Linked DNA regions of Stegostoma tigrinum. Each later gene encodes a partner of the first gene's protein in a complex. Links are inferred from orthologs where the notes say so. Each region holds a gene or a part of one and is shown on either strand. Other genes may lie near its edges.

The links. The genes of interacting proteins can lie anywhere in the genome.
Region 2: sptlc1 (region 1) and sptssa share a complex: the UniProt entries of both Homo sapiens proteins name them as parts of the serine palmitoyltransferase (SPT) complex. The link is inferred for Stegostoma tigrinum from reciprocal best matches to the Homo sapiens genes SPTLC1 and SPTSSA.

The regions. Positions count from the first base shown.
Region 1 is NC_081356.1:51,368,097-51,375,071, forward strand, and holds the start of sptlc1 (serine palmitoyltransferase 1), read left to right. Parts: upstream 1-3,956; 5' UTR 3,957-3,975; coding exon 3,976-4,029; intron 4,030-6,975. UniProt on the Homo sapiens protein: Component of the serine palmitoyltransferase multisubunit enzyme (SPT) that catalyzes the initial and rate-limiting step in sphingolipid biosynthesis by condensing L-serine and activated acyl-CoA (most commonly palmitoyl-CoA) to form long-chain bases.
Region 2 is NC_081363.1:58,723,401-58,731,310, reverse strand, and holds the start of sptssa (serine palmitoyltransferase small subunit A), read right to left. Parts: upstream 3,011-7,910; 5' UTR 2,885-3,010; intron 2,864-2,884; exon of another isoform or gene 2,826-2,863; intron 1-2,825. UniProt on the Homo sapiens protein: Component of the serine palmitoyltransferase multisubunit enzyme (SPT) that catalyzes the initial and rate-limiting step in sphingolipid biosynthesis by condensing L-serine and activated acyl-CoA (most commonly palmitoyl-CoA) to form long-chain bases.

The sequences.
Region 1 (6,975 bases):
GCCTTCTTACAGAAAGCCAGTTTCTAATCCAAACTGCTAAATCTCCCTCAATCCCATGGCTCTGTATTTTCTCTAACAGCCTACCATGTGGAACCTTATCAAAGGCTTTACTGAAGTCCACGCACACCACGTCAACTGCCCTTCCCACATCCACATGCTTGGCCACCTTCTCAAAAAGCTCAATGAGGTTAGTGAGACATGACCTGCCGTTGACGAATCCATGCTGACTATCTCCAATCAAATTGTTGCTTGCTAGATGATGATAAATCCTATCTCTTATAATCCTTTCCAAAACTTTTCCTATAACTTTGCCTCCCTGGTGCCAGGGAGGTGAGCGTTGATGCAGGTGAGGCAGTAGCAAGAGGTAGACCAGCTAGTGGAAAGGATTTTCCTGGGAAGGAACCAAGGGATCGGTTCAAGTGTGTTTGCTTTAATGCAAGGAGTATCAGGAATAAAAGTGATGAACTTAGAGCATGGATCAGTACCTGGTGCTATGATGTTGTGGCCATAACAGAGGCATGGGTTTCTCATGGGCAGGAATGGTTGCTGGATGTTCCAGGGTTTAGAACATTTAAAAAGAATAGGGAGGGGGGAAAAAGAGGAGGGGGTGTAGCACTACTAATCAGAGAGGGTATCACAGCTACAGAAGCTTCCTTTGTCGAGGAAGATCTGCCTACTGAGTCAGTATGGGTGGAAATTAGGAACAGCAAGGGAGTAGACACCTCGTTAGGGGTTTACTACAGGCCCCCCAATAGCAGCAGGGAGATTGAAGAAAGCATAGGTCGACAGATTTTGGAAAAGTGTGCACGCAGTAGGGTTGTTGTAATGGGTGACTTTAACTTTCCTAATATTGATTGGAACCTCCTTCGAGCAGAAGATTTGAATGGAGCTGTTTTTGTAAGGTGTGTTCAGGAGGGTTTCCTAACACAGTACGTTGACAGGCCGACGAGGGGAGAGGCCATTCTAGACTTGGTGCTCAGAAACGAGCCGGGGCAGGTATCAGATCTTGTGGTGGGAGAGCATTTTGGTGATAGTGACCATAACTGCCTCACATTCTACATAGCTATGGAGAAGGAGAGGATTAGGCAGAATGGGAGGATATTTAATTGGGGAAGAGGAAACTATGATGCGATTAGACATGAGTTAGGAAGCATGGACTGGGAGCAGTTGTTCCATGGTAAGGGAACTATAGACATGTGGAGACGGTTTAAGGAACAGTTGTTGGGAGTGATGAGTAAATATGTCCCTCTGAGACAGGCAAGAAGGGGTAAGATTAAGGAACCTTGGATGACGAGAGTGGTGGAGCTTCTAGTGAAAAGGAAGAAGGTAGCTTACATAAGGTGGAGGAAGCTAGGGTCAAGTTCAGCTAGAGAGGATTACATGCAGGCAAGGAAGGAGCTCAAAAATGGTCTGAGGAGAGCCAGGAGGGGGCACGAGAAAGGCTTGGCAGAAGGAATCCGGGAAAACACAAAGGCATTTTACACTTACGTGAGGAATAAGAGAATGGTCAAAGAAAGAGTAGGGCCGATCAGAGATAGCATAGGGAACTTGTGTGTGGAGCCTGAGGAGGTAGGGGAAGCCCTAAATGAGTTTTTTGCTTCTGTCTTTACGAAAGAAACGAACTTTGTAGTGAATGAAACCTTTGAAGAGCAGGTGTGCATGCTGGAATGGATAGAGATAGAGGAAGCTGATGTGCTGAAAATTTTGTCAAACATTAAGATTGACAAGTCGCCAGGCCCGGATCAGATTTGTCCTCGGCTGCTTTGGGAAGCGAGAAATGCAATTGCTTCGCCACTTGCGAAGATCTTTGCATCCTCGCTCTCCACTGGAGTCGTACCTGGGAACTGGAGAGAGGCAAATGTAATTCCTCTCTTCAAGAAAGGAAATAGGGAAATCCCCGGCAATTATAGACCGGTAAGTCTCACGTCTGTCGTCTGCAACGTGTTAGAAAGGATTCTGAGGGATAAGATTTATGACCATCTGGAAGAGCATGGCTTGATCAAATACAGTCAACACGGCTTTGTGAGGGGTAGGTCATGCCTTACAAACCTTATCGAGTTTTTTGAGGATGTGACTAGAAAGGTTGATGAGGGTCGAGCTGTGGATGTGGTGTATATGGACTTCAGTAAGGCATTTGATAAGGTTCCCCATGGTAGGCTCATTCAGAAGGTCAGGAGGAATGGGATACAGGGGAACTTAGCTGCTTGGATACAGAATTGGCTGGCCAACAGAAGACAGCGAGTGGTAGTAGAAGGAAAATATTCTGCGTGGAAGTCAGTGGTGAGTGGAGTTCCACAGGGCTCTGTCCTTGGGCCTCCACTGTTTGTAATTTTTATTAATGACTTGGACGAGGGAATTGAAGGATGGGTCAGCAAGTTTGCAGACGACACAAAGGTCGGAGGTGTCGTTGACAGTGTAGAGGGCTGTTGTAGGCTGCAGCGGGATATTGACAGGATGCAGAGATGGGCTGAGAGGTGGCAGATGGAGTTCAACCTGGATAAATGCGAGGTGATGCATTTTGGAAGGTCGAATTTGAAAGCTGAGTACAGGATTAAGGATAGGATTCTTGGCAGCGTGGAGGAACAGAGGGATCTTGGTGTGCAGATACATAGATCCCTTAAAATGGCCACCCAAGTGGACAGGGTTGTTAAGAAAGCATATGGTGTTTTGGCTTTCATTAACAGGGGGATTGAGTTTAAGAGTCGTGAGATCTTGTTGCAGCTCTATAAAACTTTGGTTAGACCGCACTTGGAATACTGCGTCCAGTTCTGGTCGCCGTATTATAGGAAAGATGTGGATGCTTTGGAGAGGGTTCAGAGGAGGTTTACCAGGATGCTGCCTGGACTGGAGGGCTTATCTTATGAAGAGAGGTTGACTGAGCTCGGTCTCTTTTCATTGGAGAAAAGGAGGAGGAGGGGACCTAATTGAGGTATACAAGATAATGAGAGGCATAGATAGAGTTGATAGCCAGAGACTATTTCCCAGGGCAGAAATGGCTAGCACGAGGGGTCATAGTTTTAAGCTGGTTGGTGGAAAGTATAGAGGGGATGTCAGAGGCAGGTTCTTTACGCAGAGAGTTGTGAGAGCATGGAATGCGTTGCCAGCAGCAGTTGTGGAAGCAAGGTCATTGGGGTCATTTAAGAGACTGCTGGACATGTATATGGTCACAGAAATTTGAGGGTGCATACATGAGGATCAATGGTCGGCACAACATTGTGGGCTGAAGGGCCTGTTCTGTGCTGTACTGTTCAATGTTCTATGTTCTATGTTCTAACAGACATAAGGCTCACCGGCTCATTTGACTGTGGCTCATTTATTGGCTGTCTCAAACTGTAAGTGGTGTTTTTAAAGGATCATGACGTGAGTGACGGTTATTTAAACATCTGCAAGAGCTGTGATTAATTGGAGGAGGTTGTATCTTTTAGAACAAAAGCAAATGCCTGGCTGGTCACTTCACTTTCTCCAAAGGAACATCTAATTTATTTTAGATTTCCAGCAGCTGCTGTAGTTTGCCTTTATTACACAATTTTTGTTCAGTTTTTTAAATTGTTTGACAAAGACAGCAGTGCTAAGTAAATTTGTGATCAGAGATAATGGGAACTGCAGATGCTGAAGAATCCAAGATAACAACGTGTGGAGCTGGATGAACACAGCAGGCCAAGCAGCATCTTAGGAGCACAAAAGCTGACGTTTCAGCCCTAGAACTTTTCTGATGAAGGGTTTCGGCCCGAAATGTCAGCTTTTGTGCTCCTAAGATGCTGCTTGGCATGCTATATTCATCCAGCTCCACACTTTGTCATTCCTTAATTAAATGTGTTCCCGGAATCAGCTGATTATTGGTGAGCACCACGTGATTGGAGTTGGTGACCATATCAACGATGGCAGCCGCCTTCTTGAACTGGCTTGCGTAAGTGCGCATGCGTATGTTTCTGATTATTCCATTTTTCATGCAGTCAGCTGTTATTTGGTAACAAGATGGCGATCGGGCAGCAGTGGGTTCTAGTGGAAATGGTTCAGGCTTTTTATGAGGTAAGAGAACTGTTCCGTAAAATAATTGTGAAAGTTTCACAGACTGTGGAGAACACGTAGTTCGTAATACATCTCAGAGATGAAAAGCTGGAGGGTATTGTGAACTGGTTTTATATTGAGCTAATATTGCCAAAAGGAAGTTTTGGAAATGTGCTGAATTTTATTGATAGTTGAACGAACCCGGTTTTCCAGTTATGCCTCGTTATGTCCAGAGTGACTACTTATGTTGGAACGTGAATTAGGAAGGATTTGTGGGTGAATTGTTTCAAAGTTAGATTTCTCAGTCTAGTCAAGTGGAACTGAAAGAGGTTCTAGCCAAGGCTGAGAATTGAAATTAAAATGATTCGAAATTGCATTTGATAATGTCCATGGTGACCCATTTATTACCCATTTCAAATTGCTCTGAAGAAGGAGGCAGTAAGCAACCTTTTTATCCTCGAAACCAATCAGGTTGAAAGCCTGTAGGAGGAAATTTGACCTTGCCCAATTTAGCCTTTATGGCTGGTCGAGATACAAATGGATTTTGCTCTTGATTATGATTTTTAATAAGGCCTTTGAAGCGCTTCCAGTTCTTTCTAAAAAGTGACTTGTAATTGTCATCATTTTAGATCACTTTTAGAAGGACAATTTATTGTTGGTTTGCCAACAATAAATGAATCACGAGTTCTTTGATTTAACACTTCTAAACATAAATTGCTTAATATTTATAAACCTGATGTGTTAAGTATTCAATAGGTTAAAATTTGTACTAGATAATTTGGTTAGCTGATGCTCAAAATATATTTTCATGTTAAGGGTTGTAGAAAACCTTTTCACTTTTTTTGAAGATTAGCTGTTCAGACTTATTTTTGAATTGTGGGTATCTTGTGCAAGGCCAGCATTTATTGCCCATCTCAACTTGCTCTAAAGAAGATGAGATGAGCAATCTTTTTGACTGCAAGTAATGTGGTGCAGATGCATTTCCAGGTCTGTTTTCTGCAGCAGTTTGATACAAGTGAGTTTCCGAGGTCAGTTGATCACTATAGTTTAAAAAGTGACAGTCGCATATAAGCTAGACTAATGATAGTGGAATTTCTTATGTAAAGATCATAAATGAAGTAATTTGAAATTGAGATTAGCACGTTTTTATTGGGCAGTGTTGTTAAAAAGATTTAGTTCTATTCCTATGTTGAGTAGCAGCAATTAATGCTTTGTCCTGGACAACATCACCAATGATATTGAATATTTAAGGCTACAATTGGCCTCTTTTGCTTATTACAATGCAGTAGTGGTGGGACTGGGTTTGGCTATGATAATATACATACTATATCAGAATAGAGTAGAATCCCTACAGTGTGGAAACAGGCCCAACAAGTCCATGCTGATCCTCGGAGCATCTGACCCAGTCTATAATCCACCTAATCTACACATCCCTAAATACTACGGGCATGTTAGCATGCACGTCTTTGGACTGTGGGAGGAAACCGGCGCATCCGGACAAAACCCACGCAGACCTCAGGGAGAATGTGCGAACTCCACACAGTCGTCCGAGGGTACACTTGAATCTGGGCCTCTGGCACTGTGAGGCAACAGTGCTAACTACTGAGGCACTGTGCCACCCATTACACATTCAAATCTAGGCATGCTATTGCGTGAGCAATAAAAATAAGCTTTGACTCAAGTTTCATTAAAAATTAACTTGAAATGCAGGCCTCACTGACAAAACCATTTTTTCCCCAAATGTCCTGATGTATATTTGCTCTTGGAAAGTAACCAGAGCTGCTTTTATGAACAAGCAGAACATTTGTGGTGATAACAAAATGTGGAGCTGGATGAACACAGCTCATCTGATGCTGCTTGGCCTGCTGTGTTCCTCCAGCTCCACACTTTTTGTTATCTTGGATTCTCCAGCATCTGCAGTTCCCATTATCACAGAACATTTGTGGTGGGTAGGTACTGTGTGAGTACTGAACATGAGAGTACTGTGGTACTCCCACAATACTGTCTGTTAGGAGATTCAGGGAGCCTGTGATGATTGTTGACATGTTCACAAGATTGGGTATTGCAATAAAATTATCCTCAACTGAGTAATTTATTTACTTTTAGCGGAAAACAATGACCACCTCGGTAATGATTTCAGAACAGGGAAAGTGAGTAGAGTGTCTGATTAGTTTTTATACATGCGAATTAAGTAACTTTGTAGATTGCTGCAATCTACAATCTGGAAAATGTTTTTCTTTTGAAAGAGCAAGGGCAATATTTTAATTAACTCCATTACTAACCTTTCTTGTCCTCCTCTCATCTTAATTGCATAAAAATATGCATATTTAGAACACACAGCCCCTTGTGCTTACCTCAGTTCAGTAAGATCATACCTAATCCAAAAGTATGATGCTCCTATTTACGGAAAACATTTTTAACCCCTTGCTTATCAAGAATCTGTCTCTGTCTTTAAAGACATTCAAAACCTTTGCTTTCACTTCTCTTTGAGGAAGAAAGTCCCAAAGAAAGACCGTGTAAGGAATAGTCTTATCAGTGTCTTAAATGGTTGACTTAATTTTTAAAATGGCCCCCAGTTCTAGATTCTTTCTCAAGAAGTGCCATTCTATAAGATGTAACACTTCCTTAATGCTTATTTCAGTTCTCTGTAATATCAAGACAATTCAATTATTTAAGTTTTTCTTTAGCTGATTGATATCACCAACTTTTCATCAAGTTTATTTATACTGAGTGTTACAAACTGTCCCGATCATTCAGTTAAAAGCAATCTGCTGTGGATGTTGGAAATCTGAAATTGCTGGATAAACTCAGCAGTTGGACCATAAGAGCTTAAGTTATAAGAATAGCTTTAGCTCATTCTCCCCATTGAGTCTGCTGTGCCATTTAAACATGGCTTCTGTTTCTCAGTCAGATCTCTTCTGCTTTCTTCCAATAACCCTTAATCCCCTTGCTAACAGAGAATCTATC
Region 2 (7,910 bases), on another chromosome or scaffold:
AGCTGTGCCTGGGGGCACTGGGGGGGGGGGAGGAGAAGCAGTGCCTGGGGGCGGGGGGGGGGGGGGAGAAAGCAGTGCCTGGGGGCGGGGGGGGGGGGAGAAGCAGTGCCTGGAGGCACTGGGGGGGGGGGAAGCAGTGCCTGGGGGCGGGGGGGGGGGGAGAAGCAGTGCCTGGGGGCACTGGGGGCGGGGGGGGGGGGGAGAAAGCAGTGCCTGGGGGCCGGGGGGAGAAAGCAGTGCCTGGGGGCACTGGGGGCGGGGGGGGGGAGAAAGCAGTGCCTGGGGGCACTGGGGGCGGGGGGGGAAGCGGGGCACTGGGGGCGGGGGGGGGAAGCGGGGCACTGGGGGCGGGGGGGGGGGAAGCGGGGCACTGGGGGCGGGGGGGGGGGAAAGCGGGGCACTGGGGGCGGGGGGGGAAAGCGGGGCACTGGGGGCGGGGGGGGAAAGCGGGGCACTGGGGGCGGGGGGGGAAAGCGGGGCACTGGGGGCGGGGGGGGGGAAAGCGGGGCACTGGGGGCGGGGGGGGAAAGCGGGGCACTGGGGGCGGGGGGGGAAAGCGGGGCACTGGGGGCAGGGGGGGAAAGCGGGGCACTGGGGGCGGGGGGGGAAAGCGGGGCACTGGGGGCGGGGGGGGAAAGCGGGGCACTGGGGGCGGGGGGGGAAAGCGGGGCACTGGGGGCGGGGGGGGGAAAGCGGGGCACTGGGGGCGGGGGGGGAAAGCGGGGCACTGGGGGCGGGGGGGGGAAAGCGGGGCACTGGGGGCGGGGGGGGAAAGCGGGGCACTGGGGGCGGGGGGGGGAAAGCGGGGCACTGGGGGCGGGGGGGGAAAGCGGGGCACTGGGGGCGGGGGGGGGGAAAGCGGGGCACTGGGGGCGGGGGGGGGGAAAGCGGGGCACTGGGGGCGGGGGGGGGAAAGCGGGGCACTGGGGGGGGGGGGAAAGCGGGGCCCTGGGGGCACTGGGGGGGGAAGCAGTGCCTGGGGGCACTGGGGGGGGAAAGCAGTGCCTGGGGGCACTGGGGGGGAAAGCAGTGCCTGGGGGCACTGGGGGGGGAAAGCAGTGCCTGGGGGCACTGGGGGGGAAAGCAGTGCCTGGGGGCACTGGGGGGGAAAGCAGTGCCTGGGGGCACTGGGGGGGAAAGCAGTGCCTGGGGGCACTGGGGGGGAAAGCAGTGCCTGGGGGCACTGGGGGGGAAAGCAGTGCCTGGGGGCACTGGGGGGGAAAGCAGTGCCTGGGGGCACTGGGGGGGAAAGCAGTGCCTGGGGGCACTGGGGGGGAAAGCAGTGCCTGGGGGCACTGGGGGGGAAAGCAGTGCCTGGGGGCACTGGGGGGGAAAGCAGTGCCTGGGGGCACTGGGGGGGAAAGCAGTGCCTGGGGGCACTGGGGGGGAAAGCAGTGCCTGGGGGCACTGGGGGGGAAAGCAGTGCCTGGGGGCACTGGGGGGGAAAGCAGTGCCTGGGGGCACTGGGGGGGAAAGCAGTGCCTGGGGGCACTGGGGGGGAAAGCAGTGCCTGGGGGCACGGGGGGGGAAAGCAGTGCCTGGGGGCACGGGGGGGGAAAGCAGTGCCTGGGGGCACGGGGGGGGAAAGCAGTGCCTGGGGGCACGGGGGGGGAAAGCAGTGCCTGGGGGCACTGGGGGGGAAAGCAGTGCCTGGGGGCACTGGGGGGGAAAGCAGTGCCTGGGGGCACTGGGGGGGAAAGCAGTGCCTGGGGGCACTGGGGGGGAAAGCAGTGCCTGGGGGCACTGGGGGGGAAGCAGTGCCTGGGGGCACTGGGGGGGAAAGCAGTGCCTGGGGGCACTGGGGGGGAAAGCAGTGCCTGGGGGCACTGGGGGGGGAAGCAGTGCCTGGGGGCACTGGGGGGGGAAGCAGTGCCTGGGGGCACTGGGGGGGGAAGCAGTGCCTGGGGGCACTGGGGGGGGAAGCAGTGCCTGGGGGCACTGGGGGGGGAAGCAGTGCCTGGGGGCACTGGGGGGGGAAGCAGTGCCTGGGGGCACTGGGGGGGGAAGCAGTGCCTGGGGGCACTGGGGGGGGAAGCAGTGCCTGGGGGCACTGGGGGGGGAAGCAGTGCCTGGGGGCACTGGGGGGGGAAGCAGTGCCTGGGGGCACTGGGGGGGGAAGCAGTGCCTGGGGGCACTGGGGGGGGAAGCAGTGCCTGGGGGCACTGGGGGGGGAAGCAGTGCCTGGGGGCACTGGGGGGGGAAAGCAGTGCCTGGGGGCACTGGGGGGGGAAAGCAGTGCCTGGGGGCACTGGGGGGGGAAAGCAGTGCCTGGGGGCACTGGGGGGGAAAGCAGTGCCTGGGGGCACTGGGGGGGAAAGCAGTGCCTGGGGGCACTGGGGGCGGGGGGGGGAGCAGTGCCTGGGGGTGGGGGTCAGTGTCAGGAGGGGGAAGGGTGTGGGGGGTGAGAGCGTCAGTATCTGGGGGGGGGGCGGGAGAGATGGGTGCAGGGGGTGAGAGTGTCAGTGTCTGGGGGGGGGGGAACGGGGGGAGCAGTATCTGGGAGAGCGTGCGGGGAGGGAAGTAGTGACTGGGGGTGGGGGGTGGTTGCGGGGGAAAGTAGTGTCTGGAGGAGGCGGTGAGGGAGTGCGGGGGTGGGGAAGCAGTGTCTGGGGGAGGGGGTGCGTGGGGGGAGCAGTGTCTGGGGGAGGGGTGTGTGCGGGGGGAGTTGGGGGGGAGGGGAGGGAAAGCAGTGTCGGGGGGTGCGGGCAGTGTCTGGGGGAGAGGGACAAAGGGGTGGTGTGGGGGTGGGGAGGGGGAAATCCCTGTGTTCTCCCGCACTGGGCCCAAGAAAACGGCACGGCCCGGAAACGCCGCCACCTTCTCACCCGGGCCCCCGGAGCCCGTTGCAGAGTCACCACCAACCGCCAAGCAGGAGCCAACCTACCGGACATTAATTATCCAGGACCCCGTCCTGTTGCCAACCCCCTTCTCGTCGACAGCGGCGGAGCCGGAGCCGCCCTATTCCACCGTGCACCACCACTGGCAGCGCCACCTCCGCTCCGGAGGAATACTTGCAGTTAGAGCCGGTGCAGCACCACGTAAAAGTTGAGCTGCGTGTGATGGTGATCTGTGGTAATGGGAACTGCAGATGCTGGCGAATCCAAGATAACAAAGTGCGAAGCTGGATGAACACAGCAGGCCAAGCAGCATCTGAGGAGCGCAAAAGCTGACGTTTCGGGCCTAGCTCCTTCATCAGAAAAAGCACGGTGATAGTATGTCCATGTGATAGTTGCGGTAATAAGTGATAGATGGAGGCACCATCAATATGAAGGTAGGACTTCGTCTCCACAAGGACTGTGCAGAGGTTACTCATCTCCTGCCAGCAGATTGATGGGAATGAAGTCACGCATGGTTACCCCTCACCATCTGCCACAGACCCAGTCCAGCAACTACGATCTTTAAAACTCAATCAACTTGATCAGTCATGGTGCTGCTGAGCCAATCTTGGTGATGGACATTAAAATCACCCATCCAGAGTACCTTCTACACCCTTGCCAAATTCATCGCTTCTTTCATATTGAACAACACTTGGAAGAGTGTTGATTGATCAGCTAATGGAGGACAGTATGTAGTAATTGGGCAGGGGTTTTACATGCTCATGTTTGATCTGATCCCATGAGACTTCTCAGTAGCCACAGTTAATGTTGACTCCCAGGCTGACTTCCTCCTGGGTATATACCACTGTGCCACCCCCTTTCCTAGGTTTATACTAGGTAGGACAGGACATACCCAGGAATGTGATGCTGTTTTTTTTTCTTGGATATTGTATGTAAGGTATAATTCCCTTAGTATGACTATATCAGGCTGTTGCTTGACTGTTCTGAGACAACTCTCCCAATTTTTGCACTAGGTCCCAGATATTGGTGGGGAAGATTTTTAGAGGCGAGAGGGCTGAGTTTGCCATTGTCTTTTTTAATGTCTCAGGCAATGCCATGTGGTCCACCCAGTTTCTTTTTGAGATAACACAGTGTGGAACTGGAGGAGCACAGCAGGCCAAGCAGCATCAAAGGAGCAGGAAAGTTGATGTTTCGGGTCAGGACCCTTCTTCAGAAATGGGGGAGATCAAAGAGAGCTCTGAAATAAATAGAGAAATATAAGTGGGATGGTGATAGGTGAGTGCAGGTGAGGCAGTGGTGGAAGAGAAGATGGACATGTTGTGTCAGGTTAAGGTGGGGATGAGAGGGAGAGTTGGTCATGGGAAGAGGCTGGGTGTGGGGAGATTTTGAAACTGGTGATGGCCACATGGAGATCATTGAGTCGCAGGGTCCCAAGGCAGAATATGAGGTGCTGCTCCTTCAGTTTCTTTTTGAGCCTTTTTAGGAGTTAAAATGATCTAGAAAGCTACTCAGTTGTATTAAGAGGGCAGCTAAGAGTTAATCACATTGTTTTGGGTCCTCTTCACAAATTATTAATTGTATTCAATCTAAAAATAGTGAGAAGTGTGTTCCTTCACTGTACATACATGGCACCATTCACATTAACTTCGAATTAGACAAGGAAAAAAGAATGATAACTTTAGAGTCCAAATTTTCTTTCCACTGTTGCAGTCGTACTCGGTTTTCCAGCTCTTGCCATGCCTCTGCCAGAGTCCCACTCCAGGCTTTGCAGCCCACGCCATGCCACCACCGGTGCCAGGAGCGACTCACCCTGTCGTTATCTTGCTGGTTTTGGAGTCACACATGGGCCAGACCAGGTATGAATGGCAGTTTTTGTTCATTAGGAGATCAGATGCATTTTTACAAAATGAACAATGGCTTCGTGTTCCTCACTGGACATTTATCCCCCCCAGATTTTTTTATCAACTTCAAGTTCCACATCTGCTATGGTGAGACTTAAACCGAGGTTCTCAAACATTAACTTGATCTCTGGGTTACATATCCAGCAGAAATTTCACCTGCCAACACCTCCCTATTTATTATAGATTTGTGTTTGACTCTTATTACCGCAATTCTGTGCTCTGATCATCAAATGGTTCTACTGCACTTACAATTTCTCAACATTAATGCATTAGCCACCTTCATCTTCTACATATTTGAATATTACTTCAAGCAGAAAATGACAATATTTGCTCCATTCTAGGGTTACCAATGTGCACTGTTACCATTTTACCCTTTCAAGCTTCATCCTAAACTTCTGCTGCCGACATTCCTAATTTTAACCGCTGCAATAGTCAGCAATGGACTAATTCTTAGCTACTTCCACTTGCTACCTCAGACATCTTTACATACATCCCCTCAATGACAAACGCTTCCTCCTCTTTTGCTGCCTCTGTGGCTTCATGCCATTTTTATGCCGGTGTGCTCACTCTATCTTCTGCAAATCCAGAGTGATCTGCCTCATGCCCAAAGCATTCTGTACCCTCTTTAGTGATACCTCTGGATGACCCAAAGACCATCACTGTCCCTACTCTGCTACTGATCTTAGTTTGCTGCAGCTTAGGTTGTTCACTCTACCTCCACAGCTAGAACCAAAAATACACAGTTCCATTTAAGAAAATAAAAAGCTGTGCACTTGAATCTAATCATCGAGATGTCCATGCTCAAATGATTTGGAAAATTGCTCGTTTCCAATTCTACCAATGGTTTCAAAGTGACAACCCAGACAGGTTTTAATCACTATTCATATGCTCCTTTATATTTAATGGAAAGAAAACAAGAATGAAATATTATCAAAGGAAAAAACAACATTACTCAAATTCTTTTTTCAATTCATAGAATGATTTTCTGTTTTCGTCAGACTTCATCCAAATTATCTGGAGGCAATACAGTTTGGAACCCAGAGATCAGATTTTCTTGGATCAGCCTCTATAAAGCTCGCCAGCAAAAGAGGAGTACCGATGAAATGTCTCGTTAAAATAATACTATTGATCCCATAGTAGCACAAAGCTTCTGGAGGCTCCTAATCTTCAGACCATCAGCAAACATTGAGAATGGAAACAAAGTCACTGATGATTCGGTAACTACAGGCACCCAGTGTCACCTTTGGCAAAGAACTTGTTGTCAAGACTGGAAGGAACCAATGCTACAATCAGAATCATAAAATGCTGGAGCAACTCAGTTTTATGTTGAATCCAGTAGCAATTCTGAACAATTATATTGTACTACAAACATTAACATTGTTTCTCTCTTCGCTGCTGGACTTGCTCAGTTTCTCCAACAGTTTGTATTTCTCTTTCAGATTTTCAGCGTCGGCAGTATTTTTATGAGGAGGTACCAGTGCTACCAACACGAGGAGATACAATTCCAGATTTAAGTAGGCCACCTGGGAAAATACCTAGTTCTGCAATGTCCTGGGGGCGTGGTGGTGGTGGGGTGGGATTAGCCTCCTACAGCCAGAAACCTCATGCCACGAGCAGCTCCAAACAGTGGAGCATTTTCTCATAATTCCCAGGAACAGGAAGAACCCCTCAACATTTTAAATAAATACATGGGATGCACACAAAGTGTTATTAAATACAAGGCTACAGACCAAGAGATGCTGGTGAATCCAAGATAACAAAGTGTGGAGCTGGATGAACACAGCAGGCCAAACAGCATCTCAGGAGCACCAAAGCTGAAGTTTCAGGCCTAGACCCTTCATCAGAGAGGGGGATGGGGAGGCGGACTGAAGATGGATAGAGGAGAAGATAGGTGGAGAGGAGAGTATAGGTGGGGAGGGGATAGGCCAGTCCAGGGAGGACGGACAGGTCAAGGAGGCGGGATGAGGTTGGTAGGTGAGAAATGGAGGTGCGGCTTGAGGGGGAGGAGGGGATAGGTGAGAAGAAGAACAGGTTAGGGAGGCGGGGACGAGCTGGGCTGGTTTGGTGATGCAGTGGGTGGAGGGGACAAGCTGGGCTGGCACCTGCACATCTGCCAATGTAGTATACTGTATCCACTGTACCCGCTGTGGCTTCCTCTACATTGGGGAAACCAAGCGGAGGCTTGGGGACTGCTTTGCAGAACACCTCCGCTCGGTTCGCAATAAACAACTGCAGTCGTGAACCATTTTAACTCCCCCTCCCATTCCTTAGATGACTTGTCCATCATGGGCCTCCTGCAGTGCCACAATGATGCCACCCGAAGGTTGCAGGAACAGCAACTCATATTCCGCTTGGGAACCCTGCAGCCCAATGGTATCAATGTGGACTTCAGAAGCTTCAAAATCTCCCCCTCCCCCGCTGCATCATACAACCAGCCCAGCTCATCCCCTCCCCCCACTGCATCACCAAACCCAGTTCGTTCCCACCTCCCTAACCTGTTCTTCCTCTCACTTATCCCCTCCTCCCACCTCAAGCCACACCTCCATTTCCCACCTACCAACCTCATCCCGCCTCCTTGACCTGTCCGTCCTCCCTGGACTGACCTATCCCCTCCCCACCTATCTTCTCCTCTTTCCATCTTCAGTCCGCCTCCCCCTCTCTGATGAAGGGTCTAGGCCCGAAACGCCAGCTTTTGTGCTCCTGAGATGCTGCTTGGCCTGCTGTGTTCATCCAGCTACACACTTTGTTTTCATGTCAGGAGTTGCTGAGGTGGTATGGGCTGAGGTCAGAAACAGGAGGGGAGAGGTCACACTGCCTGGAGTTTTTTTATAGGCCTCCACGAAGTTCTAGGGATGTGGAGGAGGGATTGACAAAACGATTCTGGGCAGGAGTGAAAGGAACAGGAAGGTCATTATGGGAGACTTTAACTTCCCCAACATTGACTGGAAATGCTATAACTCTAGTACGTCAGATGGGTCAGTGTTTGTCCAATATGTGCAGGACAATTTCCTGACACAGTATGTCGAAGGGCAACAAGAGGGGAGGCCACACTAGATCTAGGACTTGGTAATGAACCAGGCCAGGTGTTTGATTTAGTGATAGGTGAGCACTTTGGATAGAGTGACCATAATTCAGGTACATTTATTTTAGGGATGGAAAGGGATAGGAACAT